Linked DNA regions of Arabidopsis thaliana. The protein of the gene in region 1 purifies or fractionates together with the protein of each later gene. This does not show direct contact. Each region holds a gene or a part of one and is shown on either strand. Other genes may lie near its edges.

What was found.
Region 2: the proteins of BXL1 (region 1) and AT4G28440 fractionate together in Arabidopsis thaliana (co-fractionation; one large-scale study listed by BioGRID). This does not show direct contact.

Annotation. Positions count from the first base shown.
Region 1 is NC_003076.8:20,015,070-20,018,999, reverse strand, and holds the start of BXL1 (beta-xylosidase 1), read left to right. Parts: upstream 1-2,142; 5' UTR 2,143-2,340; coding exon 2,341-2,760; intron 2,761-3,334; coding exon 3,335-3,616; intron 3,617-3,930. UniProt on the Arabidopsis thaliana protein: Involved in pectic arabinan modification in mucilage secretory cells. Also acts as a beta-D-xylosidase during the remodeling of xylans in vascular development.
Region 2 is NC_003075.7:14,057,694-14,061,623, forward strand, and holds AT4G28440 (Nucleic acid-binding, OB-fold-like protein), read left to right. Parts: upstream 1-2,202; 5' UTR 2,203-2,360; coding exon 2,361-2,628; intron 2,629-3,083; coding exon 3,084-3,277; 3' UTR 3,278-3,693; downstream 3,694-3,930. Other genes in the region: AT4G28430 (Reticulon family protein), read left to right, coding at 153-690, 771-924, 1,017-1,091, 1,175-1,316, 1,420-1,489, 1,601-1,666, 1,751-2,079.

The DNA.
Region 1 (3,930 bases):
CACCAATCCCATTTCAGATTCCTATTTTACGTTATATATTCACAAGTCTTCTTTTTTTTCTCCCGTAGCTTTATGTTTTGGCTTTTGTTTGCATCAACCTTACCTTGTGCAATTTGTTCTTTTGTCTTTAATTAGGTAAAACGAGAACTTTGGTTATAACTATCCATCAGTTTACCGTTAACGGTCAAAACTTTGTCAATGACAGAATGGTATATAGTCATTCGTTGTCAACGAATATATGAGAAGTTGTTAGAAGGAATTGAAATCTTTCTATTTACATAAACTTTCGTATCCAGTATAACTCGAACGAGAAAAGTAATTACAAGCAGGTTTATACTTATAATAATAATAATAATTCGTTCTAGTGTTTTCATTACAGAAGCAATATTTGGTTGTATTAGACCACAAGTATCTATACCCGAAACAAAAGAAAACGAGCGTCGTTATGTTGATGGGTCAATTATTTAATAATTGATGAATATCTCTAACAATAAGCTGATCTGTTAGAAACTTATAATAAAGAAGACCAATAAATCAAATAACAATTAGGAAAATAAATAAAGAAGTATGGGCAACATGACTAGATGCTTATTATTGGCCAATTTGGTAAAGAGTCGATCGATGCTCGAGACCCGTGACAACCTTCTCTGTCTGTCTCACAGCTTTATTAGGTCTTACGTTTCATTTTTGAATTTCTTTATAACTAAATCTGTAAATGTTTCTATATAGATATTCTAATTGATAAACTAAATATACTTCTCTCTGTTTATTTATGGGTTATTTATTTGCTCATAGTGTCATTGCCTCGTCTGACCACGACCTTGTTCGCGTGGTTTTTTCCCATGCCTATACATTGATCTAACCATATGTGCATAAAATTACTTACAAAATATATGTATGCTAATAAAGAGGACTGAAATCAAGAATAGTCTTCAAAATTTGCATAAAACGTGTATTTTTGCCATATCAAACGTTTATAATTCTCATTCATGACTAAAAATACAGTTGGAGGGATCCAATGTCTAAGTCCATAATAAATCTTTCAACTATACTAAACGGACATGAAGTGGTTCATGTGTAAATACTCTTACATGCCACCAAACTTAATTTTAAAATTCCACCAACTAAATATTTTTGTCTAGATTATAAGAAACTTTTGATTACAAAAGTGTACTCCCCAAGGCCCCAAATGTTTTGTATGAAAAAATTGTTGTATAATCTGATCAATAATATATCTGCAAACATATTAATATAAAATTGTTAAAATGTTTGAACAAGGAATTAGTAAATTAGTATAAAATGTCAGAACTTACAAAATTGAAGTAGTTTGTTAGCTGTATAATGGCATGCAAAGAGTGAGTTATGGTTTAATTAAATGTAATAGTAAGTCCATTAAAACAAAAGAGCTAAGATTATAACATTTTTTAACTAGCGTTAGGGATTATGCGGATGTAGTGGCGGCGGTGGGGCACGAGTCCAAGCATGGACATGACTGGAGGCTACGGTAGGTGGTTTCAACGATATATAATTAACAACAAATGAGTCTTTAACGTTGAAAAAAAATTAACGACAAATGAGTCTTTAACGTTGAAAAAGTTTAACAGGTTGATTGATGTGTTGATTAGTTAATATTACTGATATATTTATGTTATTTGTAGCACATTAAAATTGAGGAAACACATTAAAACCTTCATGATAAATAGTCACAACAGTTATATGTATTTTCTTTATAAATAAAAAAAAATATTTATTTCACTCACATTTATCTTAAAATTAGCCATTGTTTTTTCTCTGTAATAGATCTATCGAACATAGTTGCTACCGAATTTTTCATTTTATCGAAGACCATTTTAAAAATATTATAATGAACGATTCTTTGCATAACCAGCATATTTATATATAAGTTACGATAAAATTATAATTAGACGTTGTGCGCTTCAAATAATCATCATCACTGGTGTTGCTTGAGTCTTTATATTGACAAATGTGATCGTACTGAGAAAACGTAAAAATAATGTTGAAGAAAGGAAAAACAAACTGACGCTTTTGAAAAAGGGAAAACAAACTATTAATTTTTTAAATGTTTTCAACAAAAAAAGTTTTTTCTTTTTCTTTTGAGATATCTCATTTTCGTAACCTGTCCAGCTAGATCGTTTTATCTCTATCTTATTTTATGTTCATAACAAGAGTCTCTTATCCTTTGTCATCAATTTTCGCCGAAAAGATCTCTATAAATACCATCATTCACTTTCTATCACATGAAAACTAAAAAACACAAACATCACATGTATACACACATATAGTTACAAACACACATACACAAAACACAGATATATAAAAATGTCTTGTTATAATAAAGCACTATTGATCGGCAACAAAGTCGTCGTTATACTTGTATTCCTCTTATGTTTGGTTCACTCGTCAGAGTCACTTCGACCACTGTTTGCATGTGATCCAGCAAACGGGTTAACCCGGACGCTCCGGTTCTGTCGGGCCAATGTACCGATCCATGTGAGAGTTCAAGATTTGCTCGGAAGGCTCACGTTGCAGGAGAAGATCCGCAACCTCGTCAACAATGCTGCCGCCGTACCACGTCTCGGTATTGGAGGCTATGAGTGGTGGTCCGAGGCTCTCCACGGCATTTCCGACGTTGGTCCAGGCGCTAAGTTCGGTGGTGCTTTTCCCGGTGCCACCAGCTTCCCTCAGGTCATCACCACCGCAGCTTCTTTCAACCAGTCTCTATGGGAAGAGATCGGACGGGTGAGAATAATTTAAGAATATTATGCTTTAAAATACATTTTTAAAAAAAGGAAGAGAATATAAAATTTATGATTTTTCTACGTGAAAAAACGACATTGAAATGGACATTGTAGAAGACTAGAAGTCATACAGTAGAGTTTGTAGTGGGACGCTCTATATTTTTTTTTTTTATAAAATTATAAATCTTGAATATTATGATTTTCATTTGAATTATATCTGACTACGACATGAGTCTATCAAATAAGTCCGAAACGTAAGTTAGAAAAAATCCAAAAACCGATAATATTTTCCTTTAGACATCAAATGCAAAACCAATATATAAATTTATATGGGTACTACCAAACTTTTATTTTGTAATGTTTTTGATAAATTACTTAGTGTGTATATATGCTGTACTGATATCCACGATACTTCCATAGTTAATATGATGATGGGCAAGCTAGCTATAACCAGTGAATATAAGAGAATACTTTTTAACATATGGTTTATATATCAAGTATATTTATTTCTTTCAACAAAAGCAAAGGTGTGTGGAGAATATCTTAATATTGACATGATTTAAAATGAATAAAAGGTGGTGTCTGATGAGGCAAGAGCTATGTACAATGGTGGCGTGGCCGGTCTGACATATTGGAGTCCGAATGTGAATATCTTGAGGGACCCGCGGTGGGGCCGAGGCCAAGAAACTCCCGGAGAAGATCCTATCGTTGCCGCAAAATATGCCGCCAGCTACGTCCGGGGACTTCAGGGTACTGCTGCCGGTAACCGCCTTAAAGTCGCCGCATGTTGCAAACATTACACTGCTTATGATCTTGATAATTGGAATGGCGTCGACCGTTTCCACTTCAACGCTAAGGTAAATCTTCTTCACATATTATATATATCTAATATCGTATATAGTAAGAAAATATTTTGCAATTTATTATCAAATTTATATAACCAATTTTGCATGTTTTGTTTCAAAGTTTGTATGCATGTTTCATTTCAAAATTATATTTTTGCAATTCATTTTGAGGCTAACTTCTTATTGTTTGGTCGAAAAATGCCAAAAATCTTTGAAATTTAGATATTAGACATTGTTATATATTTGTAATTTGTGTGGAAATAAAAGAGAACCCGTGAGTCTCTATTTTCTTACAATTTAAGTGGTTTTTCATTTCAATAAAAATT
Region 2 (3,930 bases), on another chromosome or scaffold:
GGAGAAAAAGCAGAGAGCTCAAATTGTCGGAATTAAGAATCCCCAAATCACATCTTCAAGAACCCTAATAAATTCCCAGAGATTCCTCTCATTTAATCACTTCAGATTCGAAAAAAGTTCTCTCTTTTTCCCAAAAAAAACTTTCTCATACAATGGACTCTACTACCACACCTCCTTCTCTCCGTTCGAATACTAGATCCGCTTTGCGTCTAGCTCGAAACAACAAAACTCTCGTAAAATCTCACATTCCATCTCTCGATTTGGTTTTATTGTCTCCGAAGAACAACAACGGTACTCCTTACCCATCACCTGTTTCTCTCAGTTCACCATCTTCTCCTGTTACTCTTCGTGAGATTCTCCTTTTATCTCCTTCCCCTCTTCGTAAATCGAGAACCCGTTTAAGCAATCGGTTCGATATGGAAGCTGCGGAGGCTGCTGTGACGGCACGACGGAGTAAGACGAAGGGAGGGCAAAATGGTCTTTTGGCCTCGCCGTCGCCGAGGAATTTCCGGAGGTCGAGACTAAGGTCGGAGGCGATGGTAGATACAAAGGAAAATACGGAGCCAATTGTTGTCGTGACCGATGAAAAGAAACAAAACCAGAGGAAACAGAAGAAGTTGGGTCGATCTAAGAAGGAGAAGCACAGTTCTGTTCCTCTGTTAGCTTCTCCTAGTCCATCTTCAGATCAACGTATGTCCTTCCTCTGTCTATTAGCTCATTCGATTTCACTTTCGTGCTCTAATAATTGCTCAATGATTTGTGTAATTCAGCTCAAGATGTTTGTCAAGGTGATTTAGAGCGGATTAGAGAGAATATAAGCGATTTGATTATGTGGAGAGATGTTGCGAAATCAACACTTTGGTTTGGTTTTGGCTGTATATGTTTCCTATCTACTTGCTTTGCTGCTAAAGGATTTAACTTTAGGTAACATTGATTTCTCTGTCAAGGTTTATCTTTCTAGCTTTAATCATTTTTCACATTCATGAGTTGATAATGAAACTTTGTGTGGTTTGAAGTGTTTTCTCAGCGATCTCCTATCTTGGACTTTTGTTTCTTGGGGTATCGTTCTTGTCAAATACTCTTCGCCAAAGGTACAAACTTTTAAGGTCCCAGTACATAAATATCAGCTTGAACTGCAGTTGACTGAAGTTTTGATCCATTTGTTACCATAAAGGGTTACTGAAGAAGCGCGGAGAGAGCTTAAATTGAGTGAAGATGATGTATTACGAATAGCTAGACGAATGCTTCCCATCACCAATTTAGCAATTTCAAAGACGAGTGAGCTTTTCTCTGGTGAACCAGCAATGACACTCAAAGTAGAATTTACAAAACTTTGCCATTCTCATAAAACTTCTCTCCAATGAATGTGACTCTCACGTTGATTTTGTCCTTCTTACACTGTTTTTACTTTGATTTCAGGTGGCACCTTTTGTTCTAATGGGAGCTGAGTATGGTTACCTCATAACATTGTGGAGATTATGTGCTTTTGGTATGATTGTTGAAACACTATATGTCAACATTACTCCAAAGAAAGCTAAACTGTTTTCTTTAGTTGTATCTAGTAGAATTGACACAGAGTATGCATTGTTTCTTTAAACAGGTTTCTTCCTTAGCTTCACTATTCCAAAGCTATATTCATGTTACGCAAGTCAGCTTAACCAAAAAGGTAAACTCTATTAACAGACTGCGTAGCTCTTTGATGGTTCCAATGATTGACACTAAGGATTCTTTGATCTTTGCTTATGTGTAGTTGAGTGTGCACAAAGGAGATTTGTTGAAGCTTGGGGAGTTTGCACACACAAGAAATTCGTAGCAGGCTCTGCAGTTACTGCATTCTGGAATCTAACTTCTCTCAAGACCCGTTTTATTGCAGTGTTTATCATAGTAGTAGTAATCAGATACAGACGACAGAATCTACAGTTAGATTCCGAGGATGAGGAGGAGAAGAAGCAACAAGAAAAAACTCACCCGGAGCAACAAAAATCGCCGGAGGATAAGTCAACTTCACCGCGGTCAGCAGAAGAAGAGCAAGCGTTGGTGCTAGTTGCAGAAACCAAAGCACCAAAGAAGCTTTATTAGTCTAGTCACTAGTGTCTTTTCAGTATCCACCTGTGTAATAATATTTCACATTTACGTAATAATAAATAAAGAGCAGTCATTAATATCAAATAATAAATTGACACGTGACAAGCTCATGAAACTGTGAGAAGCAGGTGATAAAAACTCTCGTCCGTCTTGGGAGAGAGCACATCGTCGTCTTTTCTTTATAAACCCTAAATTCCCATTTCTCTTCTCCAAAAGTTTTATCGATTCCACCAAATTAGGGCGAACGCGAAATCTGGGTATTGTAATTTGAAGCGATGGCGACGACTGGAACTGCTGCGGTTGCGACGGGAACTTCGACGGTGAAGAGAAAACCGGTGTTTGTGAAGGTGGAACAGCTAAAGCCTGGAACGACTGGTCACACGTTGACTGTTAAAGTCATTGAGGCTAATATCGTGGTTCCTGTTACCCGGAAGACTCGTCCAGCGAGTTCTCTGAGTCGTCCTTCTCAGCCTAGTCGAATCGTTGAGTGTCTCATCGGTGACGAAACTGGGTGTATCCTCTTCACTGCTCGTAACGATCAAGGTTATTGTTTCTCCACTTTTCTCTTGCTTTATGGATATAGAAATGGTGTCTTCGTAGTTTATTAGAGTGATAAGTCTTATCCTTTGTTGTTCTCTCGTTTGTCTTAATCAATTTCTATTTTGAGCAAATGGTAAATGTGTTTCTATTAGTACTATTTGGTAAATGATGTATCAGTTATTGTATGTGTATTTAGTGATGTCTTTGTGAAATTGAAGCTTGAAAGAATCTTGGCCTTGAGGGTCTGTAACTCTGTATAGTCTTACCTATAGTGATGATGAAACTTGCTTGGTTAGATGTTGAGTTATGTTCAATTGAATGGTCTACATTATCCCAAAACTTTCATAGCTTTTCATAATGTGAAGTTTTGTTATACCAGTTTTCGTGCAATTGATGTGGCTACTGATTAGCTCTAATGATGTTATTGGTTTTTTTTGTGTGTGTGTGTGTGTGTATAGTTGATCTTATGAAGCCGGGTGCTACGGTGATACTGCGCAATTCAAGGATAGACATGTTCAAGGGTACAATGAGGCTAGGAGTTGATAAATGGGGACGCATCGAAGCCACTGGAGCCGCGTCTTTCACTGTCAAGGAGGATAACAATCTGTCTCTCGTTGAGTATGAACTGATCAATGTTGGTGGTGATCAGTGATCTTTTAGTATGTTTATGGAGGTTAACCCCTGAGAGTGTTGGGTTCTGATTTTTCTACCGTGAAGGTCTTTGATTTAGATGATGAAGATTGTATGACTGGTCCAGAGTTGCTTGTAGGAATATGCTTCTTCTTTTTTACCCTAAAATATGCGGTCATGATCTTGCTCTGGAGAACTATTGAGCCTGCGGTAATGGCGTAATGCAATTGTTCCTTTTAATTTGTGTTGATGTAAGTTAAAGACCATTGAGAGCTTGCTTGTGCACTATCTAATACAGTAAAAATAAGTTTTTCTTTCTTAAACTTTACTAATGTCTTTGTTTTTTCATTAATTACTATTTGATGTACACTATTGTACCCTCTCGGTTACAGAGAGTTTTGCCCAACTTTTTACATCGAAAGCATCTCATCCTTGATTAATGTCATTGTTAAGACAAATTGTAAGTGCATAAAATTCATCGACGGATCATAGAACCATTGTCTAGTTAAGTCGGTCTAATTCCAAACTTTATAAATCTTTGAAATCAGAATGTTACTTTGAAGATCAGCTTTGTAACACCAAAAACGAATAGTTAATGAACACAATACGTAGTGAAGAGAAAAAAGAAAACGAAATGGGTAATAACTTAATGGCATAAAGAAAGGCTTACAACAC